Linked DNA regions of Rhinolophus ferrumequinum. The protein of the gene in region 4 interacts with the protein of the main gene of each other region in a pairwise test. Links are inferred from orthologs where the notes say so. Each region holds a gene or a part of one and is shown on either strand. Other genes may lie near its edges. The genes, in order: ANXA11, EWSR1, RGS3 and PLSCR1.

The links.
Region 1: the proteins of PLSCR1 (region 4) and ANXA11 interact in a two-hybrid assay, tested with the Homo sapiens proteins (2 studies listed by BioGRID and IntAct). The two-hybrid records come from large-scale screens. The link is inferred for Rhinolophus ferrumequinum from reciprocal best matches to the Homo sapiens genes PLSCR1 and ANXA11.
Region 2: the proteins of PLSCR1 (region 4) and EWSR1 interact in binary tests that used the Homo sapiens proteins (3 or more experiments, as listed by UniProt). The two-hybrid records come from large-scale screens. The link is inferred for Rhinolophus ferrumequinum from reciprocal best matches to the Homo sapiens genes PLSCR1 and EWSR1.
Region 3: the proteins of PLSCR1 (region 4) and RGS3 interact in binary tests that used the Homo sapiens proteins (3 or more experiments, as listed by UniProt). The two-hybrid records come from large-scale screens. The link is inferred for Rhinolophus ferrumequinum from reciprocal best matches to the Homo sapiens genes PLSCR1 and RGS3.

What each region holds. Positions count from the first base shown.
Region 1 is NC_046299.1:56,055,430-56,063,434, reverse strand, and holds the start of ANXA11 (annexin A11), read right to left. Parts: upstream 3,424-8,005; 5' UTR 3,238-3,423; intron 1-3,237. UniProt on the Homo sapiens protein: Binds specifically to calcyclin in a calcium-dependent manner. Required for midbody formation and completion of the terminal phase of cytokinesis.
Region 2 is NC_046308.1:18,737,588-18,744,980, forward strand, and holds the start of EWSR1 (RNA-binding protein EWS), read left to right. Parts: upstream 1-4,174; 5' UTR 4,175-4,294; coding exon 4,295-4,307; intron 4,308-7,393. Other genes in the region: RHBDD3 (rhomboid domain-containing protein 3), read right to left, coding at 533-916, 1,590-1,737. UniProt on the Homo sapiens protein: Binds to ssRNA containing the consensus sequence 5'-AGGUAA-3'. Might normally function as a transcriptional repressor. EWS-fusion-proteins (EFPS) may play a role in the tumorigenic process.
Region 3 is NC_046295.1:65,303,775-65,312,153, forward strand, and holds the start of RGS3 (regulator of G-protein signaling 3), read left to right. Parts: upstream 1-5,163; 5' UTR 5,164-5,275; coding exon 5,276-5,354; intron 5,355-8,379. UniProt on the Homo sapiens protein: Down-regulates signaling from heterotrimeric G-proteins by increasing the GTPase activity of the alpha subunits, thereby driving them into their inactive GDP-bound form.
Region 4 is NC_046285.1:5,726,238-5,733,654, forward strand, and holds the start of PLSCR1 (phospholipid scramblase 1), read right to left. Parts: upstream 3,070-7,417; 5' UTR 2,673-3,069; intron 1-2,672. UniProt on the Homo sapiens protein: Catalyzes calcium-induced ATP-independent rapid bidirectional and non-specific movement of phospholipids (lipid scrambling or lipid flip-flop) between the inner and outer leaflet of the plasma membrane resulting in collapse of the phospholipid asymmetry which leads to phosphatidylserine externalization on the cell surface.

The DNA.
Region 1 (8,005 bases), on a different chromosome or scaffold from region 4:
GCTCCCTCCACCTCCCAATTCTCAGCCTCTGGGCTTTCTTCTTCTCTCCCCTCACTCAGACTGTTCCTATCTCACTGTCCTCTAAGCTAGCCTCTCCCCATGCTCCAGGTGTACGAGGTGGGGAACACCTGACTTCCCTCTGAATTTCGGAAGTGATTCCTCCCTTTGGTTCTGCTAAGGCCGTGGTAACTTCAGGAGTACAAGCCCCTGGAAGACTAGACACTAAGGGATCGCAGAGACAGGTGTCAACCACCTGCACATGACACCCCCAGCTTCAAGGTTCCTTGCAGTGACACACCCAAGATATCACCACTGTCATCACCACCCCTAATTGGTCTCAAACCCCTTTAACAAACATGTTCTCACCAGACTCTGCAAACAATCATTGGAGGTAAGCATTTCACCATCCAGAACACGGGGAGCCTAAGTGGCTCCATGGCTTGTCCCAGGTCACCCAGCTCAGATGAGCTATCGCCTGACACCTTGGTTGCCCTCACCCATTAAGTGCTCACATCAGTGTAACATGGTCAGCTGTGGTTCGAGTCACACTGTTCAGGCTGTCCTGTTACGATCCCCCTAAATAAAACCACCATGTGACATCAGACCTTTATTTCACAGGGTACAGGAGTCAGGGTCAGTAGGCCAAATGTGGTACGGTTTCAGTGGTTGTTAGAAAGCGCCACTGATTTTCAACAACTCCTTTTAAAAGTCCAATTTCCCACCAAGGAAACCAGTTTCTTCCTTTCCCCTAAAAGCTTTCCTATCTAGAGACCACTCAAATTCCTGACGTTCTGGGGCAATGAGATCAGAGGGTGTTATAAGGGAAAAATCCAGAGAAACCTGAGTATGCATGCTCGGCTGTGATTATGTAACACACCCACATACACTCTCCCCCACGTGCCCTCATGGGACCAAGTGTCAGGAACTGCTTCAGGCTTACCGGGAGAAGATGGCAGCTAAAAAGACAGAAGGAGGGAGAGCGCCAGAAAGGCCCTGGGACCCCTGGACATCCAGCACGCAGCACAGGTTCCGTTTCTACACTCACTTCCTGCCCACATGGACTTCCCTCCCCCTCCCCCCATATTCTGCAGTGAATTCCCAAGAACCCATACTAACCTATTCTGACGCAATTCTCATTCCTTTATCCCAAACTACCCATCCTCCTCCAAATCACGTGACCAAGGCATCACTAATCTATCTTGGCCTTCTAGGAACAGCCATCCAGGATGAGCCCTGTCTGTCATCCTTGCCCTGGCTACATAAAGCAGTCAAAGGGCCGCCTATTTGGCATCTCAGCCAGCTCCTACTCCCACCTCTCAGTCTGGACTCATGTCCATCTCCATGTCTAATATTTTAACAACAGGAAAACTTACTTCCCTGGCCTGCCTCTCAATTACCTAACATCTGCTGGGCACTCACATTAGGCAAGGCCCATTCTGGGTGCTGTGAGACCGAGACATGAGTAAGAAACAGCCCCCACCCTCCAGAGACAAAAGACAGAGCAAAGTCCCGTGGCCATACAAATACTACGCCCATCGAGAAGTGGGTTAGTACCAAAGGACTGGAGGAGAGCTGCACGGGCTCAGTGTCTTGTCCCTTCCTGCTGTGAACAGGCACCTGGATGGTTCCTAGGAGAGTGGTGAATAATGGGCAGAAATGGGGGAAGGAGAGCATTCCTGACGGGTGGAACAGCATGAGCTAAGACAGAGGGACGGGTCAGGAGAAGAGCAGTTCAATTTGGCTGGACCTTCGGCTGCATGAAGGGAGTGACAGCTATTATTAGTATTATAGTTGATATTCACAGTTGTTTCCTTGCACCAGGCCCTGCTGTAAGCTTTATGTCCACTCTGGGTGACATCCACCTGGATCACACAGGCATGGTATAACAGTCACCACCTGTTCAGGTCAGTGCCTGAGCTCTACAGTTATTAAATATATTAACTCATTTAATCCTCACAATTACCCTGTGAGGTAGGTATTGTTATTAAACCCAATTTAAAGATGAGGAAACCAAGACTAGTAAGAGACAAGATTAGGGAGGGATGCAGAAGCCCGAGTTAGCACCCAATGCCAGGGTAACATATTGCCCTGGCCTCTCTGTGGACCACCTTACATCACTGAAAGTGCCTTGAGGGAAGGGTAGCTATTAATCCTCCTGGAAGTCTCAACAATTGACTGAGCAAGGAAGGACTGAAGGAACTTAATGAGAGCCAGTTAGTGGTGAGCAAGGTAACATGCCCTGCCTGTCCAGCTCCTGGACTCAGCAGGGCATAGGCTCACCCCTCACAGCACTACTAGTGCCCAGGTCAGGGCAGCTGGGAACAAAGTGAAGGGTGGGGAGAGACAGAGCAGCTAGGTACCTCAATACCCAGGGTCTGTCCTAAAACACCCCCCTCCACAGAAAAGTCACTGATCAGAGGGATGGGGGCAGAAACACCGCAGGCAGACTGTTCCCCACTTAGGCGAGCACTGCCTAGCTTAACTTTTGCCCCCCAAAGTCTCTATGTGAGGAACTTCACAACACTCCTTTAAGACAACAGACTGGGTTTCTACCTTGTTAAGCCTTCAGGGGACATAAAAGTCCAAGAATCCATCCCTGAAACCCTCTCAGGGCTGAAGATGGGGGAAAGCAGAGAGAAGGTAAACTTATTGGTGAACATAGGACCTGGATGAACCCCACATTCCCCAAATAAAGTGCCTTACAAACAAACTCCAACAGTACCAGCTACCAGGAATTTGTGTCCTCCCAGGTCTGGGGAAAAGTTCCTGAAGGCAGCCTTCTCTACTAGCTCTCCTAGGTACAAGCCTTTCCCGGAAGGGCACACACACAACACTCGAGAACTCGGCTGGGTCAGAGGGGACCAGGCGACCGGCCATGGCCCACACCAGCTAGTCGCCTTCTGGTCGCGGGATCACCAGGTCCCAAGCCGGCCCAGGCCCGCTGAGTCCGACCCCGGCTGCACAGCACAACCACGTGACCCTGGCCATGGGGGCAGTCCCCGCTGTAGATCGAGCTGATGCAGGCCGATGCAGCCCGTCCGGGACCAACCGTCCGGGACCAGCCAGACAGCACCCCCCCCCCGCCCCGCCCCGCGCCTCCTTGCAGTGCAACCAGGAAGCCGCAGGGCCGGGCCGGGACGGGGCAAAGGGGTTAGTCCCAGGCCTCAGCAGCGGGGATCGCGGCGCACTGCCGCTGCCCAGTCCCGTGTCCTCGGTTGGCTGGGGACCCTCACTCACCTGGCCACTGGCCACAGGGTAGGGGGCCGCGAGGAGCGAAAAGGGACGCGGGCAGCAGCAGCTCTCTCCGCCGGCGTTCCGGGAGCGGCGCCTTTGATCGACGTGGAGCTCTGTCCCGTTCCGGCTCTCGGGACACTCAGGGCACCGGGAACACTTGCGACCTGGGGGCGCAGCAGCCACCAGGGCAGGGCAGGAGGAGGAGCCAGCTGGGAGGAAAACTCCCGGAGCGCGGCGGTCTGAACGCACCCGGGGCGGAGCGTTCGTTCCAGGGGCGGGACCGGGGGCGCGTGGGGCGTGGCCTGAGCTCGGTCCCGCCTCCAGGTGAGAACCTTCCTGGACCAGAAAGCGGAGAGCCGCCTCCTGGAGCTGGGTGATGGAAGCTGCTGGCCTTCCAGCGACCAGTGGCCCGAAGCGCCTTGAGGTCGGCATGGAGCCCCTTCTTCCCCATCCTTTCCGCGAAGGGCCCCGCAAGCGCCGCCCTCTCGGGAAGGGGATTCTACAAACCCCCTCCAGGCCTGTGTACCATTGTAACTCTTTAAGGTAAAGAAAATTTTCTGCATTGAAAAGGTCACCCAATAGTACAGACATGGGGTAGGAGTGGGAAGAATAGCTTTAGGGTAGAGAGCTCTGACAAACTATCTCAGCGGGTGATCAAGGTCAACACCAAGAGTAATAAAACAAGTGACAGTGTGTACCTGTGTGTTTTTCCTTCCAAGAACACATAATCCCAGTCTAATCATGCGGGAAAATAATCCCAGTTGAGGACTATTCTGCAAAGTACCTAGCCAGTACACCTCAAAACCGGGGAGGTCATCAAAAACAGAAAATCTGAGACACCCTCTGTCTCAATCAAGAGAAGCCTAAGGAGACATGAACACTAAATGTACTGTAGTATCCTGGATGGGCTCCTGGTAAAGGACATTTTATCCTGTGATAAAATATTTTTTAAAAATTTATCTATGAAAGGGCCGGCCCAGTGGCTCAGGCGGTTGGAGCTCCGTGCTCCTAACTCCGAAGGCTGCTGGTTCGATTCCCACATGGGCCAGTGGGCTCTCAACCACAAGGTTGCCAGTTCAACTCCTCCAGTCGCACAAGGGATGGTGGGCTCTGCCCCCTGCAACTAAGATTGAACACGAGCACCTTGAGCTGAGCTGCTGCTGAGCTCCCAGATGGCTCAGTTGGTTGGAGCACGTCCTCTCAACCACAGGGTCGCTGATTGGACTCCCGCAAGGGATGGTGGGCTGCGCCCCCTGCAACTAGCAACAGCAACTGTGATGTAGGTGATGTTGGATCTGCTAGCAGTTTCTGAGTGTGGGCCGGGATCATGTCTCGTGAAGCCGAAGAGTGGAAACACTGACCAGGGAGAGGCAAAAAGTTATAAAAAGAGGATAGTTTATTAGAGGCAGGAGAAGAGGTTGCAGCTCCCGAGCAGGAGGGGGTCCCGAATGGGGGTGCCCCATGACTGAGGCAAAAGCTCTTACTTTTATACCTTCCCTTGCCTGCTTGGGGAAAGGGAGCTGTTTGAAGAAGGGAACCTGTTTGAAGAAGGGAACTGGCACCTTCTAATGAAATTCGTCTACCTGGTTTGTTCTGCTTGCCCATCCTAAAGGAATTAGCAAAGTAACCCACTCTCCATCTATCAGATCTGCTCCATTTGTCAGGCCAAAATGAATTTTATGATTAACCTCAAGGCCTTGTTACATTACGTCTTGGAGAGAAGGAGTGATTTCAAAACCTGGAGTTTTAGGATATGACTATCTTTGTTTATTTCACCAGGGACCTCCCTGTCTACCTAGGGACATGCTAACTATCCTGTATCAACTGGACCTGGAGTTGAGCTGTGCCCTCCAGAACTAAGACTGAATGGACAACAACTTGAAGCTGAACGTCACCCTCCATAACTAAGATTAAAAGACAACAACTTGACTTGGAAAAAAGTCCTGGAAGTACACACTGTTCCCCAATAAAGTCCTGTTCCCTTTCCCCAATAAAATCTTTTTAAAAAAAAATTATCTATGAAAGAACGTCCAGCCTAAGAGAAAGCTTATGAGTTTATTTGAGCCAAACTGATGGCAATTGCCGGGAAACAAAATCTCAACGGATTGAGATTTTGCTGCGGAAAATGGCGGTTTTGCAATTTACTTTATAAGAGCCAAAGAAGAAGTGTTACATGAAATCCACTGGTGGTAGATTAAGGGCGTGGGAGGAAGGCAAAGGGGGGAGGGATTGAAGGAGGAATATATCTGAGTTCCCAAATGATGTAGGAAATTTTGGAGTGAGTGAGTGTGAGTGCCGGGATCGTGACCAAAGAATGGAAACACGGACCCAGGAGAGGCAAAGAGTTTTAAAAAGAGGAGAGTTTATTGAAAGCAAAGGGTCAGAGCTCCCGAGCAGGAAGGCGTCCCCAATGGGGGTGCCCAGTGACTGAGGCAAAAGCTCTTACTTTTATACCTTCCCTTGCCTGTTTGGGGAAGGGGAACTGGCACCTTTTAATGAAATTCGTCTACCATGTTTGCTCTGCTTGCCCACCCTGAAGGGATTAGCAAAATAACCCACTCTTATCTATCAGATCTGCTCCGTGTGTCAGAACAAAAGGAATTTTATGATTAACCTCAAGGCCTTGTTACATTTTGTCCTGGAGCGAAGGAGTGATTTCAAAACCTGGAGTTTTAGGATATGGCTGTCTTTGTTTATTCCACCAGGGACCTCCCTGTCTACTTAAGGACGTGCTAACTAACCTGTCTCAAAATCTCTGGGATTGGATAAAAAGTAAATTGGAGGGACACATAGTACTTCTTTTATATTGGTGGGTACAGGATAGTTAATAGCATTTTACTATCACATAGAGATGGTAATTGGGACAAGAACAGCAATGAGGGATTCTGTAGTTTCCTGCCTGGAGTGGTGGGTTATGCCTTGGAGGGTCCGGAAAAAGGGATCACTCTGACATTTCCAAGGGTATGTTATCTTAGATGCAAAAAAGACAATAGTCAAGCTCACTTAAGGTAAGGGTGTTGACCTTTGTCAAAGAAGCTACAGGCCAAGGATGTGACTACTGGCCATGACCCGCTTTTAGTGAGGGATTTTTATGTTCAGACCATCCTGTGTGGTTAACTTCGGTCTCTGAGTTTGTAGGGCCTGCCATGCTGACCTACCCTGAGCTTGTCGGGTTTAGTATGTGGCCCCTTTTTTTCCCACAAACTGAAATTCATTCTTCAGTCCCTCAACACACTTTTTAGGTTGCCCTTCCAGATCTTTCTCTCTGCAACACACTCTATGTGTGTATGTACATGTGTATGTGTGTGCGTGTGTGTGCATATTCATGTAGATACATTGTTTACAAAGCTGTGTTGTATAATTTTTCTCATTATTGTTGTGTCTACTTGCTCACGTACCATGAAAGAATTCATGAGTCAGAAATATAGAAGATTTATTAAAGAGGAGGCTCAGCGGGGCAGAGTCTGCTAAAAACTACTGCAAACTACTGCATGGAGTCTTTGGTCTCAAGTTTTCTGTTTTCCTATAGTTGGGGATGGGGGAAGGTATAGTAAAACCAGTTATCACAACCTTTGCATACATTATGTAGATTTAAGTTGGAGCCAGGAGAGTGGATCCTATACAGATGCAAAACCTCTCCCCAAGTCACAGGGCTTACACTGAACCTAAGTAAATACAAACATTGAAACTGCATAGCAAACGTATAGGGAGCAGAATCATTAAGAGGCAAAGAAAAGAAAGCTTCCAAAAAGTCCCAAGTGGCAGCAACCAGATGGCTCAGTTGGTTAGAGCGAGGTGCTCTTAACAATAAGGTTGCTGGTTCAATCCCCGCAAGGGCCACTGTGAGCTGCACCCTCCACAACTAGATTGAAACAACTACTTAACTTGGAGTTGATGGGTCCTGGAAAAACACACTTAAATTAAAAGAAAAAACAAAGTTAAAAAAAAAAATCCCATGCTAAATTGCTTATTAATTTGAATTACACCAGAGATCCAAATCTCAAAAATAGAAGATTTAGTGCCACCATTACAATCCGTCTCTCTTAACAATTATTATTTTGGAGGGTCTTTCAATGCAAGCGGACCTGGATCAACTCATTTCTTCCTAATGACTGCACAGTATGCGCCGTCGTGCATGTCACCATTCTTTACCACCTAGCTCCTTATGGAAAGATATTTAGGTTGTTTCCTATTTGGGGCTATTACTGATGCCATGCTAAGGTCTGGCTGCCTGCTGCTTGAAAAAGTTAAAAGTCAAGAGACAAGGCTAATGGAAAGAAAAGCAGGTTTATTCAGAATGCCGGCGTTCTGGGAGGATGGTGACTCCTGTCCAAAGGCTACCTCCCCCTTCCTGGAATGGGCAGATGGTTTTATAGGTACACAAGAAGGATAAAAGAGGGGGAGTCCGTCAGGCAGGTCTGAGGGCTGACATCCTTCCCGGGGTCTGGTCTGTTTTAAGATAATGTTATCTCTGGACTCTGGACTCTGACTCAGCCATCTCGGCCTGGGGCTTTATGTGTATTCCGGTGTCTGGACGCCTGTGGATTAAGAAATTGCCCTTTCCAGGTTAGGATTCTGTTGGTTAAATGGATTAAGGAGATATGGGTAGCCTTGAGAAAGGGAACAAAACAGAGTTGTTAAGTCAGTCAGTGAGGACAGAGACAAAGAGAAAACAGCTGAATATCAGGGAGGATCGAACTGCCAGGTGGCTAGATAGCAATCTATGCGGTGAGTCAAACTGCAAATTAGCTAAGTCTAATTACGTTATCGA
Region 2 (7,393 bases), on a different chromosome or scaffold from region 4:
GGTCTGCCTGTGCCCGCTGTTCTCTCAGATTGCAGTTTTCCCCAACAGGCATTCAGCATCTGGAGCAAAAGCCTGTGTTTAATGCACATGCACCACCAGCCATAGGTGGTTCTCCCTTTCGGCGCCCAGAGAACCCCAGCTCATTCTCACCCCTGGCCTTTGTATTTTCTGTGCCCTCTGCTTGGCCCTCTCCTTTTTCACTACATTTTAACCCCTCATCCTGCACGCATCAGCTTAGATGCCACCTCTACTAGGGAGGTCCAGGTTAGGTGCCTCCTTGGGCCACCTCAGCACTCTAGGCTCCCCTTTAAATTGGTATTGGTACCTCCACCTGTGGCCACGAGCCCCCAGGCCACAGCCCAGAAGCCTGGCTGGAGGAGAACATGGAGATGCTCCTGGAACGTCTACGTGTGCACAGCTTCCCGGCATTGTTGGGTCTGACCCCCTTATGCCACCTCCTTTCCAGGCACCTTGGGGGCCCAGCCTCAGAACCCACATGTCCATACAGGCCCAGAGCCCAGCCAAAGGATACAGGCCAGGCCAGCAAGGAGGCCACAAAAGAGTTGCAGGAAGGGTGGCTCAGAGCTGAGCAGGGGTGTCAGGGCGAGCAGCAGCCATGGCAACAGCCATGGTGGCAGTGCCCCATGGGGCCGTTGTGGGCGGTAACCCTGCCCTGCCAGCATGGCCAGGTGGACAGGCATATATCCGCAGCCACCAGCTGCACCGGACACCCCGAGGCCTGCCAGTAGCACAGCCATTAGCCCGGCGGCCAGGGCGAGCAGCATGGAGGCATGCAGGAACTGCAGGGTGCCCAGGTGGCACTCTTGCTGCCAGCCCAGTGCAGGCAGGAGCAGCAGACTCAGGAGCAGGCTGGGTAGGGCCGTGTGGCCTAGAGCATGGGTCAGCAGCCGGTGTGCTGGGAGAGAAGAGGGGCTTATGTGCCAGGTTAGTGGCCCCAACCCCAAAGGCTGTCCCAGGTGTGCCAGGTTGGGAATTACCCTCTGCCAGGGCCACCCGCTGAAGCCAGCCTCCCCTCCCCAGGAGCCAAAGTCTGCCCACTGCCAGCAATCACTCGTGGAGGGAACCAAGGGTTTCCAAACACTGGAGCTGCTCCCAGGACGTATTAAGCAGAACAAGGTGGACCTACCACTCGGTCTTCTCAAGAGTAACCAACTATGGATGAGTCACTTAACCTCTGTGAGCATCATTTGGGTTCCTCAGATGTAAATGGAAGCTGCTATTATTATTGGGGAACAGGTACTCAGCTGGGGTCACTCCTGAACCCTCAGCGCCTCCTCCCCATTCTCATGCTTAGCTGAAAGCCTTAGTTCTTATTTCAAGGAAAGCCCTCAGAAAGGGAAGCTGTCTGAAAAGAATTCCTATTCACAGGCTCTCACCCCTCCGCTGGCTCCTCCGCCCTCCCTGGCTGTGGACGAACTAGGAGTACTCCCATCCAAGGCTGACCTTCCCAAGGGTACTGGTTCTATCCCTGCCTGACCACTGCAGGAGGCACACAGCTCCTGCCAACTGGTCTCAGGCCCTAAAGCAAGTCTCTTGCTTCCTCCAAGGCCCATGTGACCAGCCCTCACCCTGCCAGGGATCCAGCAGCAGCTCCGGGGCCAGGGTGAGGCTGGGGCCGGCCCCCACCAGCCACAGGCTGCTCATGAGCAGCATCAGGACTGAGGAAGCAAGAGGCAGCGCCGGGGAGAGGAGGGCAGGGGGGCCTCTGCCACGCATAGCTTGGCTGAAGGTGGTCAAGGGTGGTCCTGAGGCTGCGTGCTAGGGGTAAAGGAAAACAGTAACAACAGTTATTATTGCAGCTTTTGTCTGACTCTTTCAACTACCCTACCAAGAGCTCCATTTTACAGAAGTAGGAACTGAGGCTGGAGAGGCAGTCTCAGCAACTTGGCCAGAGGAACTCGGACCGTAACCATGTGCTTAGCCATCTTGCCAGTCCACCTGCCTATGTGTGCGGATGGAGGGGCGAGGCCAAAAGAGCCCTCATGGGCCCTGAAGAGGAGCCAGGGGTGGGAGGCACAGGGCCAGGGAAGTTAATTGGGGCCCTGGACTCCCAAAGAGGTACCCCTGGGGCAAGTTCAGAGCCATCTCCAGCTTTCCTCAGGCTGCGACCAGCCACCTTCCTCCCTACCCCCTCTACTGTGTCCAGGCTTAGAGCTCTGGATGGCCTCAGATGCCCTTGACCAAGGGAGAGAGACCAGCCAATGGGCAGGCAGATTAGGGAGGGAGTGGGGCAGAAGAGCTTGGGGGGGGGGCAGCAGGAGTCCCACACCCTGAGAGCATACAAAGTGACACTGGACTGAGACATCCCCTTCCTTAGAACCCTGAGCACAGCCCCTCCCCTTCTCACAGGACCGGTCCAGTATCCACTTCTTCCTGTTGTGTATCCCTGGGCAAGCTTTGCATCCTCTAAGCCTCTCCTTCCTCTTCTGTAAAATGGGGATTAATAAAAGCCTTTCCGTGTAGGATGAGAAAAAGGAATGGACTAAGGCAGGGCGAGCCCACAGCAAACTGTGGGAGGCAGATGCTTCAGCCTCAGTGGTTCAAGCTCTGGCCTTCAATCGTGCCCATTCCCTGCCCACATGACAAGGCTTTTTCTCCCCTGTGCTCTCCCTTCACACCCCACCTGTCCTGCAGGCCCTGCTGGAATCCCCTCAGCCTTGGCCAGGTCTGTCTATCTCAGGAGTCCCACTGAACTGATTTCAAAGGGCAGGAAGCAAAATCCCACAGAGACAAGGTGGCCTCATCTGCTCCCTTGCCAAGGGCACCCTCAGCATCAAAACCCACCTGCCAGTTTCCTGCAGGAAAAATGTAGAAAGCTCCTCTGTCTGCAATGTCCTTTCCTCCATCTCTTCAACAGGCAAACTCTTTTCGCACCCCTTGAAGCCCAGTTCAAATGTCCCCATCTCCATCTCTGGGCCCCCACATCATGAATCTTATCATATCTAATGAGCACGGCTTAGCCTTTCTCCCTGGCAGGTGATCTGAGCTGGAGTGGGGGTCGGGGGATTCGCTCCTCTCACTCATCCCCAAGTTCCTCAGGGTGCTGCTCCCCACATATTGCTGGTGCTGTATATGTATTCACTGAAAGAAAGACACTAGCTTGGCACCACGACCCGCTGAGGGATTTGAGTGAGATTGGGTTGAGAGTAGAAAGGGAGACAAGTGCCACCCTTGTCCGGAAACAAGGAATCCACTTTAGGCTTTCTCCTGCACCCTCACAACCAAGTCCCCCCTCCACCTCTCCAGTCCCCCGCCCTCAGGTACCTTAGCAAGGGTGAACTCGCCCATGGACAAACAGAATTGGGATTTGAACCTCCCTGGCCTCAGTCTCTTTATCTATAAAATGGGGCTATAAACCATCAGACCCTACCTACCTTACTGGGAAACCGGCGGACAGAATGGGAAGGCAAGGACGGGGAAGATTCTTCCGGGTGATGGAGAGAGTGGGGGTCCCAGGGTGCGGGTCGGACTCAGCTTTGTGACTTTAGGAAAAGTACCCAAATTCCTTGGACCTCAGTTTCCCCTTCTGTAAAAACAAGAGTATTGGATGAAGAATGATTAAAGGGCCTTTTCAACCTCGACCGTTACTGGGGGGCTCTCGGGGCCGGTCGCAACGTTCGGGGCCTCCCATCCTGCCTCAGCCCCCGCCCTCGCCGGCCTGGGCCACGTGTCCGGGGTACTCACTGCTGAGCGCGCCCCGGCCCGCGGAAGGCCGGGCACGATCCCAGGCTGGGAGTCGGTACTCAACCTTCCCCCCAAGGCCCGAGCGCCCCAAACCCATTCTGCTCGCGGTCGGGCGCGTGACCCCGGCGGACCAGCCGGCGCGCCACCCCCTCCCCCGCGGCCCGCCGATTAGTCAGCAGTTGTTCTAGGCCCAGATCCCTTCCCCCAATCCTCCCTCCGGCCTCCGTTTCCCTTCAAGGCAGACTCTTCAGAGACAGTCCCTAGAGCCAGCGGACGTAACCATCCAACAATTTAGCCTCGTGCGAAGAATCACTCCGCCTTCGTATCAAGATCCGCTCACCGGCCGCTTCAGCCCCTTCGCTGCTATTTGGACCCGCGCGTCAAGTCCGGCGCTCTTTAGAGAGGATTAGGAAAAGAGTAGAGGTCGGGAGAACGAGAAAAACTGTGGCTCATCCCTCTTTCCCACACCCCCGTGGCCTGGCCCCATGGTAGCGCCCGAGGTTGCGGGTTTCGCGCCTGCGCAGTGCGGCGCCTAGAGGGAAAGCGAGAGGGAGACGGACGTTGAGAGAACGAGAAGGAAGGAGAGAAAATGGCGTCCACGGGTGAGTGTGGTGGAAATGCGGCCGCGCCGGCGATGGCCGGGACTCCCAAATCGGGACAGCTCGTCTCTGGGGGTGGCCGGGACAACTGAGTGGAGTTTCTGAGAAGTGTGTGAGGTACCCGCCGCGGCCCGACGAGCTCGAGGGCCCACGTTCCCGTCCCCTCCCCCACTGGGTAGGCCGGCTCTGGAACCTTCCAGCGCCCCCGCCGTACGGGGGGCTCGCGGCGGCAGGGGCGCGCGGGGCCTGCGGTGGCCTCCATTGTGTGGCGGCCGTCGGGCCCCGCGCGCCCGGCCTCCCGCCACGTGGGCGGGGCCTGCGGCCTTCAGAGCTCCGCCGGGGATGGCGCTCGGTCCGGCTTCGAGCCGGGCACCCCAAAACCTGAGGTGGGGGGGGCCGGACGATGGTTCCCGAAGTCGTGAGCCCGCTGCCCTTCCGACTTCCCCACCCCCATTTACAGAGAGACGGCCCAAACCCGAAGGAGACTCTATTTCACCGAAAAGCTTGGGGAGAAAGCAAATAAAAAAAGCCATCGTGGATTTGTGAGCCGAGGGGCGCCGACCTATGAGCAGGAGCCCCGTCATGCTTAGGGCCTGGTCTGCTGGGGCGTCCGGTGCCACCTAAGCTGCCCCTTTCGGCGGGTTCCAGCCCCAAGCCGAATTTCTGCCCGACTGGGCTTACAAGGGATGTGCTCCCCCTCCCTTCAAAATCTCCCCAGTCGGCTGTTCCCTCCGGCTTCTTCGTTTTCACCATCATTAATCCCGCCCCAAAAAGCAATTAAGTGGCTTCTCAGGGTTATTTTTCATCAAACGCCGAGAGATCCGTTGTATGATGAGACCAGCCCGGATCGCGAGGCCAGAAATCCCTACCGAAAGAAATCTCTCTAGTTTCTGGCCTAAGAGAAACAAAAGGCCCGGGTCGGCATTTGTACTATGCTTAAGCAGTCGTCTCACACTTGCACTTGCCTAGGTTAAGCCGGTAGAGAGGGAAGGAGGCGCGGAGTGGGAGCTGGAAATGTGGTGTCTAGGGTGGGCCTTCCTGCGAGGAGTATTTAAGAGTGTAGCCTAAACATCACCTGCACTTGGCAGCCTGTTCCCGCACTAACCTGAGGTTATCGGTAGGGTGGGGCATTTTCCCCCGGGCCTTATTCTTAGGCGGTCTAAGTCTAGGCCTTAGAAGCTGTAGGAGAAAAGGTTAGACGGAGCTCTTCTCCAACTGTGTGGTCAGTAAGCAGGCAGGTAAATGCTGGTTGTTGGTGCCAGGGTACAGAGTGTCCCTAGAAGAAAGGACTCTGAAATATCACAGCCCAAGACATCCTGGTGGAAAGGGATTTCCTCAGCCCATTCCACCTTCCTCTTCTCCCTTCCCTGTTAAAGCTTGGGCAGTCAAAATGTGTTAAAATTTTTGTGGCTGGATATGCCAGTTTTTTGTCTGCTTTGCTCAGACTCTGTTTACTGCTAACCTCTGAGTACTATGTACTATATTAGTATTACAGTTGCAGTTTATGTAGAAAGTGACCCAGCTGGGGTATGTTGGGGGAGTCACATAACTTATCTGAACTTTGGTTTCCTTTCGTTCAAAATAAAGGAGCTGCTACACCTTTTAAGAGCTTTCAAAGCCCTTAACTTTTGACCTTACAGCAAAGCATTTTTGGCTCCCACAAAATTGCCTCATACTGACTTTCACTTTTTATGTAGTCTGAAGTTCTAAATCTCCACAGTTTGTATAGTGACTGCCCTAAAGTATCTAAAAGCCCCCATATCTTGGGTAGTGTTAAATGTGTTTCCTCCTCACTTGCATCTATATAGAAAAGTATCTAAAATGCAGGGTATGTCCATTTTAACAAATTAAAATGCACACCCCGAGTGACTGCATGCAGATATTGCCAGCACTCTAAAGGCCCACCTAGATCACAGCCCTCGCCCCCAGTCTGTCCATTTTCAGTAAAGTCTTCAACTGCACATTTGGGGGTTAAAAGCAAAACAGTGATCGGTAAATAATCTGACTAGTGTGTGACAAGAGCATTTTTGAGGCCATATAATTGTGTGCTGTGAGTAGATAACGTAAGTTCTCCTAAAACAAATTGGCTACCTTCCATAGCCCACCAATGTGGGGCTAAAGCATCTGGTTTCATGTTGATTGAGAACATTGGTTGTTCTATATCAGCTTTGCCAGTTTTATGTTTTACATAACCGTTCTTGTATAAAAGTGCTCTTGCAAACATTGAACTTAGATGTCATGATTTAGAATCATTTCTCAAGCAGAAACCTCGAAATGTAGGTTAAACTATCAATTTTCAATGCTTCCTTGTTGTATTTTGTGAATACCACATGGAATAAGTGATTTTCATTTACTTTTTATTTGCCACATAAAGAGCATGGTTTGTAGTGCCATTGAAAATGCCTTAACGTTTAACTTTCAAATGCTATAAGGTTGTCTTTGAACAAATCAATTCATAGCCTTTGGGCAGTTGATTTAATAATGTTGATTCAGGTTTCTGAACTAAGGGTGTACAGAGGAAAGAAAGTTGAGTCAAGTGTAGGGGTAGAAAGATGAGCCAACTGCAAGAGATGAGTTCAGGCAGGCCTTTGATGGGGGGGTGGAAACCCTTCCATAAAGAGCTGAGATGTCAAACTGTTGCTTTCAGAGGAAGGTCTACTTTCTAACTGGAATAGAAAGGACACTTGTTTGGGCCTAATGGAGGTATTGTCTTCTGACAGATACGTATATTCTTATGGAGAGCAAAGAATTGGACAGAATTTTTTAAAATAATTAACTTTATATATGTATACTCGTACATTTAATTCGGAAGTGCTGTGAGAACTTCTTAACCATTTTGTTTTCTGTTTTCACTACTTGTAGAGACCTCACTGGACCAGAATTTTTAGTCCCTTTTGCTACATGTTGCAAATTTCTTAGAAAAATTATAGAAAGTTTTACTTAGAAAAAGAAGGGGAAGAAAAATTGCAGCATTTTCTTAAAAGTTGAAATCATTTTAAGTTTTAAAAAGATGGTGTTGCCAGAAAACAAATTCTTCCCAAAAAGATTAAGTGCTTTCTCTGCCAATTAATTAAGGATTCTGCCTTAAC
Region 3 (8,379 bases), on a different chromosome or scaffold from region 4:
TCCCATTGTTCAGTTCCTCAAGCGTACAATGCGTTTCTCATATTCTGACCTTTGCATGTTTTGTTCTTTATGCCTCTGTAACCCTTCCTTTACCTCCTTTGCTTGGCTAAATCATCCTTCAGGTCACTTTCTCTGAGAAGTTTTCTCTGACTTCTTTATCATCTCAGTCTGCCCATCTCCCCAGTCTAAGTGAGATGTTAATCTGTTTGTGCAGGTTGCCATGTTTCCTTTGTTGTAACACTCACCCAGTGTCTCACTAGATTGCAAGCTCCATCTTGCTCACTTCTGTATCCCCAGTGCGCAGTGGAAGGCCCAGCACAGCACAGGGCTTAGCTTAGCAGACGTTTGTTGAATTGAGTTTTAATGTGTCAGTAGCCACGGAGGGCTCAGTCCTACTAGTTTGTCCCTAGCTATTCTGAGCAGGAGGGTTGGTGTGAAAGATGACATTCTATAGTGGGTTTTTGGCTAGATTCTTATTTCTCCACAGTTTATTTATTACTTTAGCAACTTGATTCATTTAACAACTCTGAACCTTAGTCACCTCATCTATAAATACAAATGCTTGAATTTCCTGAAGGCAAATGGTGGGACCAGATGATTTTTTTTGTCTTTGGTTACTAGTATTTTATGCATTAGTCATTTATTTTCCTCTACTGTGCAATGATTATTCATGTTCTTTGATACATTCATATTTTTCTTACTTGATTTGTAAGATTTCTTTGTATATATTGGCCATATATTTAAAAAGTACTTTAAATTCATTTTTTAATTTAAAAAATTTTTTAACTTTTTATGGCCATAGAAAAGCTTTTAATTTTTTTGAGTTTTTTCAATCATATAAAAACATGAAATACATTCTTAGCTCACTTGCAGCACAAAAATAGGTAGTGGGCCAGATTTGGCTTGTAGGCATATTTTGCCAACCCTTGCACTAATAGGTTCATTAAATTTGAACCACTTTTGCAATCCTGGAATGAATGTAATGATCGTAAATATACTGCTGGTTTTAATATGCTAATGTTTAGGATTTTAGTGTTTATATTCATAGGTCAGATTGTTCTAGCAGAGATTTCAAACTCGTTATAGCACAGAAATTTATTTTATTTGGCCTACATAATATTTCAAAATTTCTGACTGAATAGCCAATATTAAAAATTTGGGAGATACTATATTAAAAATTAGATGTTTCTGGCTTTTCCTTAAAAACAGGAATGTGTCAAAACTGAGAGAATGTGGGCCCAGTATCGTCATAATTTTAATAGATCTTCTCAGTGTATGTTTTCTATTTCATTAATTTCTACTCTTATTTTTATCTTTGACCTTTCGTCTGTAGTTTTCTGTTGCTAACCTTGTCTGATTGTTGTCTTTGCCTAGGCTTGTACCTAGCATGAAAAATCTTTCAGTTTTTTTCTAGTGCTGAAACAGTTTAAATGACATTGGCATTATGTGTTTCTTGAAGGTCTTATAGAATTGGCCTCTAAAACTATCTGGGTCTTCTATAATTTTGTCAGGTAGAATTTTGATTTCCTTGTCTATTTTATCTATGGTTAGTGAGCTATTAAAAATTTCAAACTCTTGTATCAATTTTAGTAAGTAATGCTTTCTAGAAAATCATCCATTTTCTCCTCAGATTTTCAAATTTATAAATAAGGTTGCAATGGTTTCCTCTTATAATAGAAAGAATTACCTTTGTATTTTGGGTATCTTTCTCTTTCCTAAACCTGTTTACTTGTAGTTTTCTTTGTTTTGCCAGAGTTCTATTTTATTTATTTATTTATTTAAAGAACAAGGCTTTGGTTTTATTGTTGAAGCCTATTGTAAAACAAAATAAATTTAAACTTTAACTATATTATTTCCTTTTTTTAAAAAAAACAACACTTATATTTATTTAAGTGTGTTTTTCCAGGACCCATTAACTCCAAGTCAAGTAGTTGTTTCAGTCTAGTTGTGGAGGCGCAGCTCACAGTGGCCCATGAGGGGATCGAACTGGCAACCTTGTTGTTAAGAACACCACGCTCTAACCAACTGAGCTAACTGGCCGCCCCTATATTATTTCCTTTTAAGATTTTCATCTTAATTAGCTTGTTCCCCTTCTAACTGTTTGAAATGAATCTTTAAAAACTTTTGAAAATCTTTCTTATATTCTAAAAAAAATCATTTTTCTCCTTGAACTTTCTATTCTATTCCATTGATCTGTTTGTCTTCTTTCTGGTACTACATTATTATAATATTATTTACATTTGGTAGTCCTAGACCCCTTTATTATTATTTTTCAATAATTATTTGGCTATTGGGCCAGATGATATCTAAAGGAACTACGATTCTTTAATAGCTAAGGTGAAAATGCACCCAAGTCCATTTAGTCCCTTCCCTCCAAACCCAGGTAGTCCTTATTCTTCTAGATACAGAGTCAGTCTTAAAAAATGCCTACAATCGATCTTTGTATCTGAATGTGGTATATGTATGTAGTGTATTTAAGTGGTTTTTTTTTGTGTGTGTGTGTCTGTGTGGTGTGTGTCTATGTGCTTGTATATAGGATGCATGTATAGTGTGTGGGGTTTGTGTGTGTATATATATATGATGTATGCAGTATGTTTATGTGTGTGTATGTACTAGTATATGGTATGTGTATGTGGAGTGTTAGTGTTTATACATGGGAAGTGTTATGGTATGTGTGTGTGTGTAGTGTGTGGGGTGTGTGTGAGGTGTAAGAAAGATACTGAGGCCAATGGCCAGGGCATGTCAGAAAGCTGGGCTTGCTCCTCAAACTCCCCTGCCTTCTTGGGGAAAGCAGGGCCATAACCACGACCCCTTCTGGATGTCCCCTGTGGACAGTAGAAATAGATTAGTAGGACCAGTCTCTCCTACAGTGGTACTGCCCGGGCTCCCACTCACTCTTGTTCTCCTTCACTTGAGAAAAGAGTGACCTGCCCCTTTAAGAGAAGGATGTTTCCAGTGCTCTACTAAGTAAGGGGCCTTATGGTTGGTGGTAAAGGTGGTGGAGGTGGTGCCACCACAGGAGTCGGATCAGGATCAGAGTGGCATTGGGGTCTCCCAACTAAATAGGTTAGCTGCTGAGTAGGGCAGGAGCTGGGAGGGAACGTACAAGGCAGTGGGACTTTTGTCCTGAGTGGGGTGAAGTGGGACTCTTTGTCCTGAGTAAGCTGAAGTGTGGTCCTCAGTCTTTTTACCCCAGACCACATACAGATAGCGCAACTCTGCCCAGCTCTCCTGCTGGACCCCAACCTCGTGAGGGTGCATTTGCAGGTTGCTCACAGCTTCCTGAGTCCAAGGTGATTTTCCCTAGTATGGGAAATTTTCTCTAGTATTCCCTAGAGAGCAGAGCAGAGCCTCTGGCAGAGCTGTGAAGGGGCCACTATCCTCTTGGGCACATCACTCTCCCCTTCCCTGTGGACCTCCTAATTCCTCCTGGGAGAGAACATCCCTCTCAGGGGGCATCCTCAGGCCGTGCCTACCCATGCTCCCAGCTTGCTCCTGCAGGTCTACAGCACCTCCAGCCTCAGTGTCCTGTCTGTATCCTGTGGCTGGAGCCTGAGGTGGCCCATTTTCCTTGGATAGATGGAATGGCAGGGCCGGGATACCTCCCTGCCCAGAAAGGATGCCTGGACTCAAACTTCCCCAGCTAGGAGGATCAGGCACACTCAAGTCCAGGGTGCAGGTAAGTCCATCTGCCACCGGGTTGGGGCCAGGGAGGTACGCTTGTCCCCTGCTGAGGGCAGTGCTCATGGTGTGGGGCTGAGGGAAAGCAGAGCAGGGCCTCCCAAAGTGCCAGGATTCAAACAATCCACCTACCTTTTATGAGACTCATTTGCACCTGACCACTAGTTTGCTGATTTCAGGGCACCTTCTCTAGTTTCAGCTCCCTGCTGGTGGCCAGCTGGCCCTGTGGGATCTAGTTTTCTTACCTGCCTCAAGAAGGCAGGTCTGCTACTTCCACTTGCTATTGGCCATGAGGCAGGTCTGGACGCCAAGGAGGAACAGAAGGAGGATAGCCTTTGGAGCAGACAGGACTGGGTTCAAATTTCAGCTCTCCCAACCTTAGATAAGTTACCTACTCTGCCTGCCTGAGGTTCAGATTTATCCCTGGTAAATTGGGGCTAATGCTTTCTAGGGTTACTGTGAATATTTAATGAGATGATGTGTGTAAATTTCCCAGCTCAGCCCCTTTCACCTGGTACTCAATACATATAACTTTTCTCCCCACTTTCTCTATTGCATCCCCCAACTCTGTCTTGCGTGGATCACTCAGTCACAAATATCCATTTGGCAACTTCAGATATTTCCCATTTTCAGACTTACATAAGACTAGCAACTTTCCCTCCCACAGCAGCAACAGTCAGAGATTTGCAGAGCAGATGTCTTGGTGTGAAACTGCTCCCAGGAGGCGTCCCATGAAAGTTTGCTGACAAAGAGCTCAGGGGCTGACCTTCCTTCCAGCACTGCCTCCTCGCACCAGGCTCTGGAGACTGAAAGCATCTACCTCCTCTGCATAGTATACTTTTCGGTCCCCTCATATGCTGGGGTGCCCCATGGCACCAGGCTGCAGATGGAGGTCTGTGAGGCTGGCTGGAGCACGCTGCTGTGGTCTGGACTTACGCTAGGCTTCTCTCATCCAAGAGGGGCCCACGAGGGAGATAGAGAGGGCAGGGTTTGGGAAGGGGCTGCAGCCTGGTGGGTGGGCCCGTCCAAATGTGGAGAACACTTTTCCAAAGCCCCTGGGCCAGGAGGGTGCTCCTTTGCTTTTGCTCTGGTCCGGTGATTACAGGTCTGAGCTTCAAAGCATGTTACAAACCGGGCTAATTGCTAGCCTGGGAGAACTGGACGAGCAGGCCAAGCGCGCCTGAATGGGCAGCCCAGGGACTGCGGGCCTCTCGTGGGGATGGCACTTCCAGCCTCGAGCGGTCTTGGAGCCAGGAGACCTGGTGTGGCCGCCGGGTCCTGCGCGCTCCTGGGGAGGACTGCGGTCCTAGCCGCGGTGGCTGCCCTCGCAGTTGGGACGCCAGCGCCATTCCGCCTCTGGCCAGCGTCTGCTCTGTCAGGTGGAAACCTTCCCATTCAAACCAGCGCGGGCCAATCAGGGACTGGCGCGCCCGCCTGTTCAAACGCGCGATTCAGCCCGGCCTCCGGCTCCCGCCTGGGAGACCGGTGCGGGGCGGGGAGGTGGGGTGCGGGTGAACCTGCTGCCTCGGTTACTGTGGAGCAACACAGACGCTTCGGGTTACAGGCTCACCCTCCCGACCCGGAGCGGGCGGCCATGGAGCACTCCCTGCACCGCGTCTCCCTCGGGAGCCGGCGTGCCCACCCGGGCTTGTCCTTCTACCTCACCACCTTTGGTAAGTGCCCTCTGCGGCCCGCTGCCGGGACTGCGGCACCCTGCTCTCAGCGCCCAGAAAGGGCGCCCCCGTGGTGATAGATGAGGCTGGGAGCAGATGAGCCTTCTGTTTGGGGGCACACCTTCTCTGGCCTCTTCCTCCTGTGGTTGCCCAGGTGGGGCTCAGGACACAGGCTCAGACCGTTCAAGCTGCTGGGCACCACCTGCTCCCTGGCCACTGGTGCCAAGTGCAGTTGGTTCTGCCTCACTGGGCTGGAATAATCACGCCCCAGTTAATCTTTCAGAGACCCGGTTTGTCACCGCTGAGTTTCCCATTAGCAAGCAGCTCAGGGTTAAATCAAGGTCTTGTTGCTACGTCTCAACCTCTCCTCAGTTCTCTTTCCTTTGGTGCAGGGACAGGGCAGGTGCCAGGTTAGCCCAAGTGGCCTTGTTTCCTTGTGGGCTAACCTTGGAAGCAGTGTGACTGCTCCAGTGGACATCTGACCTGTAAGAGAGATGGGAGAATTCTCTTCTCCAGGAGTGAGCAGGCTCTCAGGAGGGTCACAGGGCTGCTCTGGGGACTTGAAAGGAATGGGCAGTGGGTGCCTGCTCCCAAGCCCCTAGGTAGCAGGACTGAGTTCCCCGAAATAACAGCTGGGTAGCAGCTCCCCAAGGGTCCAGGCAAACCCAGCCTTCCAAGTAGCCATAGTAAAGCTAATAGCCGGGTCCTAGAATACAGCCCTTTACAGTTCTCCATTCCTTTCCTCACTGGTTCTGCAACACCTTGTGGAGAGGGAGTTGTGTTTCCTCTGTGAAGACTTGAGATCCAGAGAGAGGAAGGCCTCCCAGTGAGCCAGTGACAGGAGTTGGTACCTGAGCTCAAGCCTTCTGAGACGACCTGTAAGGCACATTTGTTTTGAACTTGTATACAATTTTTTTTATGAAGGTTGGGGAAGTTACTGCAACATAAGTGGACTTTGCCCAGATTTCAAAGACAGAGCACCTGGGGAGTTAGGCCCTTCCTGGGTCCGGGTCCCTACTCTCAGGCTACCTCTGTTGACACACTTGGCTCTTCACAACCTGTCTTTTCCTCTAGTGGCAAAGGAAGTGATGGAAAAGCAGTGGCTTGGCCCCTAGAAGTGGCTGTGGTCTGGCATCCTGGAATTCACTGGTCCAGTTGGTGGAGGATAGTAATGAGAGTAATTGACTAGCCACCACTATTGAGACCTTTCCGTGTGTCGTGCCTTGTGCGACGTGCTTTACCTACATTATCTCATTTAATCCTCCCAACCCTCGGAGGCAATTCCTGTGAACCCCCCCATCACCCCCCCGTGGGATTTGGGACTGTACTAGACAAAGGAGGTCTCTGGGATGGTCTGAGTTGGTGGCGCTGGAGTGGTCAGAACGAGTGTTGGGAGCTGGAGACCCTGCTACCTTAGCTGTTTCCTGATTCAAATGTAAAACTATGTTTCACTGTTTTCTCCTCTTTATTCTCATGGTGAGATGTATTCATTGTTGAAAACTTAGTGACAAGAAGAAAGTAAGAATCACCTGTAATCTGAAATCTGACTCCCCAGAAAAGACCATTGTTAACATTTTTTGGTTTATAAACCAAAATCCTCAGACTTCTCTCTCTCTCTCTCTCTCTCGGATCTAATTTTAACAAAATTCGGATCATATTGTAAGTACAGTTTTGTAACCCGCTTCTTTTCCTTACTGGGATGAGGTGACTATTCCCTCGCATCCGTCCACATGTCTTCTGTTGAATGAATCTCCCTGCCAGATCTGGGAAGTTGAGGCGTGTCCAGTGCAGCAGGGAGTGGATGCCCTGCCCAGCCATGGCCTCAGGGCTGGGTCGGATGGGGAGCAGGGAAGGTGGCTGCTTGAACCAGTCAGTGCCTGACCTGAGTGTGCAGTGGGCGGCAGGAACCTGGTGGGGTCGAGAGCCTCCTGCTCTAACGTCTCCTCCTGCCCTAATGTGTGCAGTCTCCTCTCAATGTCCCCGAGGACACTGATGGACACTGGAAAAGTTCTCGCCTGTTTCCTTCATTAACTGTTTTCTTGACAAATGCCACCCCTCTTCCAGGCTGCTGACTTTTCTTCGTACAGCGAGGGATCTTTGCCTGTCTGATCATGAGTGAAGATTCATATCAGTGGTTACCAGCCTGGCCAGTTATCAAAAGCACCTGGGGAGCCTGTTAAAAACAGATTTCTAGGATCTTCTCCCAGAGATCATGTTTTAATAGGTCTGGGGCGGAGCCTGAGAATCTAATTTTAAGAAGCCACAGAAGTATTTCAGCGATTCAGGCAGGTTTGGGAGCTATAGAGTCGGTTTTGGAAGCTATAGAGTCAGTCAGTTTTGTTAGCCATGAACTCCTCACCAGGAAGGTCTTTGCTAAGTTTTCCTCTGTTCCCTGGCCTTTCCCCAGCATGGCAGGTACCTGGCCTTCAGCATGGGGCTTTGCCCTGGTAGAACCAGATGAAGGTGCTGCCTAGCTGGTAGTTTCCTGAGCACAAACATTTAAAAAGTTTTCTATTTAATTAATTTTATTTTTACTTTGTTTCAATTACAGTTGATAATATTATATTAGTTTCAGGTGTACAGTAGAGTGGTTAGACATTTATACAGCTTACGAAGTGATCCCTGATAAGTCTAGTACCCACCTGGCACCACACTTATGTACTGGAATCTTCTTGACTGTATTCCCTATGCTGTAGTTTATTTACATCCTCATGACTGTTTTGTAAGTGCTAGTTTGTACTTCTTAATCTCTTCATCTTTTTTACCCAGCCCCATCTGGCAACCATCAGTTTGTTCTCTGTATCTATGAGTTTGTGCCTGTTTTGATTGTTCATTTATTTTGTGTTTTAGTTGCCACATATAATTGAAATCATATGGTATTTGTCTTTCTCTGTCTGACTTATTTCACTTAGCATGATACTTTCTAGATCTATCTGTGTTTCTGCAAATGGTAAGATTTCATTCTTTTTTATGGCTGAGTAATATTCCATTGTATATATGTGCCACCTCTTCTTTGTCCAATCGT
Region 4 (7,417 bases):
GTAGGTAAATTTTGTGCATCTAAAAAGCTTCAGCTAACATCAAAAGACAAAAATATTTCATCTGTTGAACTATGGTTCTGGTAAAAGATAAGCAGAGCAAAAACAGATGAGTTTATACATCCAGGTGGCCCAGATGTTGTTGAGCATTTGAGTACACAAGTCCACCCTATGTGCAAGGTATAGGGTGGAAGTGGGGTGACTGAAACCCATTTACAAATCAAAGTTCCTGATACCAGGGAGTCTTCCTGTAAAAACCCAATCTTGTATTTAGAGTTCAAGGAAACAAAACAAATAAGCTCAGAACCATTTGGGGGGAGCATTTTATAGTAAACAGTGAAGAAAAAAAGTAGGTATTACATCAACTGGGACCACCTGAGAGAGTAGTGCTTAAATTAAGTGTTCTACCACACTAACAAGTAAACCAAAAAGACAAAAGAAACAAAAACTAAACTTTAGGTCAGTTATCCTAGTTTGATTGCGTTATTTCTCCTGAAAAGCTTTTCCTGACAACTCAGAGCTCCCTACAAATTTGAGTTGTTTCCTTGCCTCCTAATAAACGAGGAAACTACACTCAAAGAGTGAATGGTCACTTAATGTTATACATCTCACTAACTAGTTGAATTAAAATGATTCATGTCCTTTGCATTCATGTCTTTGATTCATTGAAAAAAAAATTTCTCTCAAATTGTCAAATTTCAGTAAAATTTATTAAAAGACTGTATTTATGGTATCTTTCTTGCAAATTTCAAACTTACGCAAGGCTATTTTCTTTTTACCAGGAAAGGTGAAAGTATTTTTTAAATTCAAAATTTGGAAAATGAAAAGTACAATTACTAGTACTGATTAACTACAGTACTTTGGCTTTTTCAACTTAGCACTGTTTAAGAAAGTATAATAGTGTGTGTGTATATATACACACATATTATAATGCACATGTTCATATATACAAGTATGTATATAAATATTCGGTTGGTACAAAGCTTGTGCCTTTTTTCAAAGAATACTGACTGAAGGCATAGTGAAAGCCATTATAGCAATCACTAGAAGAAAATGACAGATTATATTATTAGAAATACTCTAAATGCTATAAATAAATATAATGGTGCTATAATAAAGAGTTATGGGGCCACTAGCTTAGATGCTGGTGGTGGTTGACGGGGTTGTAAAGAAAGCGAGATCTGAGAGCTGAAGAAGTCTGAAATCAACCAGGCCATGAAGGTGTGGGGGTGGGGTGGGGTGAGGCATTATAGACAGGAAACTCAGTATGTAGAAGTCCTGAGGCTGCACAGAGCTTGTTTCATTCAAGGGCATGAAAGGTCTGTGTGTGAGAGAGAGACCACAGGGAGAGACCATGAGACAGGAAGATGGAGAGGTGCACAGGTTGTTACGCCTTAACTGTCTCCCCAGCTGCACTCTAAGCTCTGAAAGGCCAGTGCATGGCCTGTCTTGTCCAGGACAAAGCGCTTAATTGGTGCTTTTTGATTCAACAATGTGTGTACAGAATTATTAATTTCATTCCTTTCAGTCAGACAAAACAGCTCTCTTGCAGATGCGAAGGCTGCTTAATCTTGACCTAGTTATTTCACATGCCACTTTTCTACCCAACTGCAGAAATCCACTCATTTCACTACCATCCCTTGTGTTTCTTCAGTGTTCAAAGTGCTACAATCGTCATACTCACCAGTGTGGTATTAGGAGAAACTTCTGCTGGTATAAAAGTTCAAAGGAGAAAAAGGGGACCCCAAATCACCTGACATTTCACACTAAGTGAAACCTACCTGTACGGTACTAACCCTGTACCTAATACTACTAATCCAGGAGAAACAATAGTTTTCTGCCTCTTCCTGGAACTGGGTAGTGAGCATGCCAGCACTTCCAGGAATAAATGTATAAATAAAACCACAGGGGGACCAGGTAGAAAGCGGGGAGAAGCAGAGACTTTGTCAAATATTAAAAATAACAAAAGCTTTCACTGAGTACTTTCTGCAGTGCCAGACCCTGTCTAACGAAGTTACACTAATACCTGTCATACTCTAACTCTCAGAACTCTTTTACTAGTTACACAGTTTCAGAGATGAGGTACGGAAGGAACATATATGCAGAAGAAACTGGCTCAGAGTCCACGGATATAAGCAGTAGAGGCAGGACTGGAGTCAGGCAGGTGGACTGCGAGATAATGGTCTTCTCCTCTATGCTACACAGCCCCTCTAGCTTCCCAATTCTTCTGGTGTTCCAGGTCCTAGCATAGTTCCAGCTGTATCCTAATTCATATTTACTGTTAAGTGGCCGCTGGCAGGTTCTATTAACCGTCCCTTCTAACACCCCACATTGTGCCGGCAGACACCCCGGAGCCCAGGTTCCTGCCCTGATTCAGGGCTGCCCTCCTCGCTGGGAAGAGATGTTCTCAGGGAAGGAAACACCATAGTTGGTCGAGTCTCTACCAGGTAGGTCACCCGGGGACCCTCAGAGCGCCCCCGCTCCACTTCCGAGGTGGCTTCCCGAGACCGCTGGGACCCCAACCCCCATCCTCTACCCCCCAACCTCAGCGCAAGCACAACCCGCCAGCCCTCGTGCCCCTCGGTCACGAATCGCCCCCGGGCCCCGCGAGGCCCGGAACCCGCACAGGCCCCGCGCCCCGTGCCCGCGGCAGGGCGGAGAGCGCACCTACCCACCTGTGGCTGCTGCTGCTCCGGGGCGGCGCTGGGCGAGACGAGGGCCGGGAACCCGGGCGCCTGGCGGTCGCTGTGTCCCCTGGGCTCCTCGGCAGCTCAGCGCGGCGCGTTACACAACCTTCCCTGAAGTCACCAGGAAGGGGGCCTCCGAGGGACCTACGCGGGGCGGAAAACCCGGCTCTAGGTTTCGTTTCCTGGATCTTACGTACACAAAAGGGTCTGTCTAGCCAGTCCCCGTGGGAGTTCGGGGTCCCGCGTGGCTGCCGGAGGGCGGGAGAGCTGCCTCGAGGCCGGCTCCCCAGAGGGGCGGGCGCGGAGATGTCCCCCTGCCCCCTTTCCTACTCTCAGAGACTCCAAAATTGTTGGTGTTGCATTTCATGGGGAAGTCAACACTGGCTAGAATGCGGACAGTCTTGAACGCGGGAGGGTTTGCCTTCGGGGTGGGGCGGAAAGCACTGAAGTGCTGGGAAATTCCTTTACCCCGGCTTGACCTCCACCCCGGCGATTCCGGTTGGAAGCAGTGACCGGGGCTGAGGACAAACGCGGATGGGGCCAGCTTGTTTTCCTTCATGACGTCTTTTCACGTTCGCTCTCTTGCTCTTTGTCTCTTTCTCTGTTTCTCTCTTTCCACGAAACGATGTTAACTTCGTTTAAGAGTCAAACCGACCTGATGCGTTTAGAATGTTTAGTTTTTCAGGCCCCTCCAGGAGTGGCAACCAAGCCCAATAAACAAGTATTTGTTGAACTGAACTGAAGGATTCATTCTTTTTTTTTTCTCTAAAATTTTCATTTACAAAAGCGATACATGATCTTCCACACAGTAAAGCTGAATGTGGAGAAAATAAGTGAAACATACCTTCTGCATCCCCCACTTTTCTCCCCATGACACTGTTAAGAGACATTTGAAAATTTACTAAGAGAGAAGGAAGGTTGCGGGAGAGAAGAAAGGAGTTGGGAGGGATAGCGAAATTGAGAAAATATGACTGAAAAAGGAGGGAGGAAACCAAGCAACTTGGTTTGAATCCCTTCTCATCTCTGTGACTTGGTGCAAATTACAGTCTGTGTCTCCTTTTTAATCTGTAAAATGAAGGTAGTAATAATATCTACCTCAAAGATTTTTATGAGGATTAAGGAAATTAAAATACAAAAAGTTTAGACTGATGCCTGCCACACAGTAAGTGCTCAATACATACTATATACACAAATGTACACGTTAGGCCACATTTAGGACAGAACAGGAAACTTCTTATCTTAAAAGCCATCTTGTCTTTGTACCTGTACCTGCCGGCTTATGTTGCTTTAGGCTTGGAGAAGCCACCTAGAAAGTAGAAACCATCTTATGCTGTTCTAATGGCTCGTGATCAGCAGGCCTGGGAGGGCCTAGGAGGTCTGGACCGAGGGAGGCTAGAGGGGCAGGGTGTGGAGCCCAGGGCTTGGTCACGTCCCAAACAAAACCCTTGGTTGCTAGAGACAATGCAAGGAAAACCCCCTGAAGCATTGAAGGGGGAACAACCTCATTGACCCCCTCCGGTAAAACTCCATACCCCTTTTTGCTCCAAAAGGTTGTGGTCTTTTCTAGCCTGACCTCCCACAGTTCAAACACGCCAAATAAATTCTAATAGTCCAATTTTAGTCTCCCATGACTCATTCCTCTGGCCGTGCCTAACAGTACATAGTTTTGTTTTTCACGTTAACAGGATTATTTTATGCAAACTATTCTCTGTTGTGTTTCCACTTTATGAAACTTCTTGGAAATCCCTTGCCTTTAATACAGAACTGTATCGTTGATCTAATCATTTAGGTGTACTTTGCTTCTAATTTCATAATTACAAATTATGTTGTAGTCATCGTCCTTGCACTTATTTTTCTGTACACACTTTAGAAACTTATTCTGTTCTGCCAATAAAATATGAGAATGCTTGTTTTACCATGGATCGCCACCTCCTGATAATCATTTCTAAATGTTTGTTATTCTGATTGGCAAGTATTATGCTATTATTATTGTTTTTGTTAATTCGAGTTGTTAGTAATGTTGAGTAATTTTTTATATTATTGCTAAACATTTTACCATTTTATTCTGTGAAATATCTGATATTTAATACATAGTTTTCTGTTGGATTAGGACATTTTTCCCCTTGCGAATTTGTTGTGCTCTGTATATATTGTAAATTCAATTCCTCATCTGCTTAATAGAGTACAATTTTTTTTTTTTTTTTTTTGCTCAGTGAGTCTCCGGATTGTGTCACATTTAAACTTGCTTTAACAATACATAGTTTTCATTTTTAATCATCTTTTACTGTGTTTTTCACTTTTGACTTCTAGGCGTTGCATCTTATTTTAGAAAGTTTTCTGTACCTCAGGACATCCAGTATGAGTTCTTCCTTGACATTTGTTTATTTATTTATTTTTAACATCAGGACAACTTTTTAAGAATTACTTTTGATATACAATGTTGTATTAGTTTCAGGTATACCATATAGTGATTAGACATTTACATAATGTACAAAGTGACCATCCCGTAAGTCTAGTTCTCAACTGACAATATACATAGTTATTATAATATTATTGACTATATTCCCTATACTGTACTTTATATCCCCATGATGACTTTTATAACTGGAAATTTGTACTTCTTAATCCCTTCACCTTCTTTACCCATCCTACTGTTAGGTAGAAGCTAGAAAATGTAGGAGGAGGAGGAGTGGGAGGTGGTCCTTAGTGCCTACAGAAAAAGCTCACAAGTAGCTTTGATTAACTGCCTCCAGCCACATATCTGTTCTTATAACAACAGATGACAAGAGGTGGTGTGGAGCAAGATAAGGATCTGAGTCAACAGACCTCCACCCATCTTAGGAAGTCATGCCCTCCTATGAAAGAGCATGCACCACCTCCCCCACCCACCTCTCCGGCCTAAAATCAATAGATAACTCCCTGTATAAGTCCTACTGACGCAAGTTCTCTCACCCTTTTTTTTTTTTACGTCAGCTCTCTTGCTCACGCTTTCTCTCTCTCTCTTTCTCTCTCCCCCCTCCCCCTTTCTCTCTCTCACCTCTGCTAGGCCCATTCTCTTCCCTGAGAACATATCACTAATATCCGGGACCTAGGCTTCTCTAATCTCTTTCTCCCTCTCCCCAACCTCTTCCCTGAGAATGTATCACTAATAAACCCTGCTTGCATATTAATCAGCTTGCTGAACTTTGATTCTTCACTGTGTCAGCAAGAAGAACTGAGACTCCCGTAACATTTTGGTGCCATGATTTGGATTGCATCCTTTGTCTCCAGTTGTTTGGATGGCAGTGAGTAAGGGTCGGCAAGCTTTTCTTGCCTTTCCCACCTTCAGAGGAGATTCTCAACATTTTCAGAACTTTTTCTCCTACCTCCGAAATTTGCCTCTCCAATCCCTTAAGATCTTGTTCTTTTTGAACACTATTGCCCAACAATGGGTAACGCTAATACCAGCAGACTGAGAGATGGAGGGACAAAGGGACAGCTACTTGCATGAGGGCTTGAGTACTTCCTTCCGAATGGAATAATCAAAATCATACCCTGGGCTTTGACCATTAGCCCTCTATAATTTCCCCCTCCTGACCGAGCCTTTTTCGACTCCTAGAAGAACACGGGAACTACCAGGACTCTTTCGCAACCCCTACAAATCCAGAAAAGAGGTGGGATAGTCTGCCACTGTCTCGAGGGGCAGTCTTACCTCGCCCCAGACAATTTTTCCCTTTTCTAGATGGGGAATCAAGAGTCCATTCCCGCCAGTACCCCCTTGAGATGTACCCTTTCTAATTGGTCACAATTTGATCCTCAAAATTTAAAAGCCAACTAATCTTTTTTTTTTTTGTAATACAGTTTGGCCCCAATACCAACTAGGGGAGAGGGAGGTTTGGCTTCTTAATGGGACCCTAAACTATGACACATTTCTACAACTCATCCCCTTTTGTAAACGTCTTGGAAAATGGTCAGATAGTCCTTCTATACAAGTATTTTTCTATTAGAGGGGTGGTAGAGATTTATGCAAAAAGTGGAACTTAGCCCTACTAAGCCCGTGCTTACTGATCCCCAAATTCTCACTGACCCAACTCCGGCCCCAGGGACTCCAAAGAAGGCCCTCTGGCTACCTTCTTCACCACCCTTGTACCCAGAGTCCCCAACACAACTGCTGGCCCCTGCTTCTCCTGCCCCTAAAGCTGTTCGGACAACTAAGCTCTTGCCTCTGATAGAAACAGCAGGAGAAATTGGCCCCCAACTAATAAACAGACCCCTCTCCCTCATTGAGCTCAGGCAAATTAAAGCTGACCTTGGGAGCCATTCGGACCATCAGACAAATGTATAGATGCTTCCAACACCTTACTTTAGCATATAAACCTACCTGGAAAGATGTGATGATAGTTCTGGGACAAACTTTGTCAGACATTGAACAGGAACAGGCAATTAAGGAGGCCAGAAAATTTTCTAACAATTTACATCTGTCTGACAACAAATACCCCCCAGGAGAAACAGCGGTCCCACCCATGGACCCTGAATGGGATTACAATGGCAATTGCCCAAAGTGGGAGAGAAACCATTTCTTACTCTGTGTTAAGGTGGGACTCAAGGTGGGCTGTCAAAAGGCCATTAGTGATTCTAAGGTGTCTGCCATTAGTCAGGGCCCAGATGAAACCCCTATTACCTTCTTGGAAAGGCTGAGGGAAGCGCTCATTAAACATATTGAACTAGATCTAGAGTCTTACGAGGGACAAGGA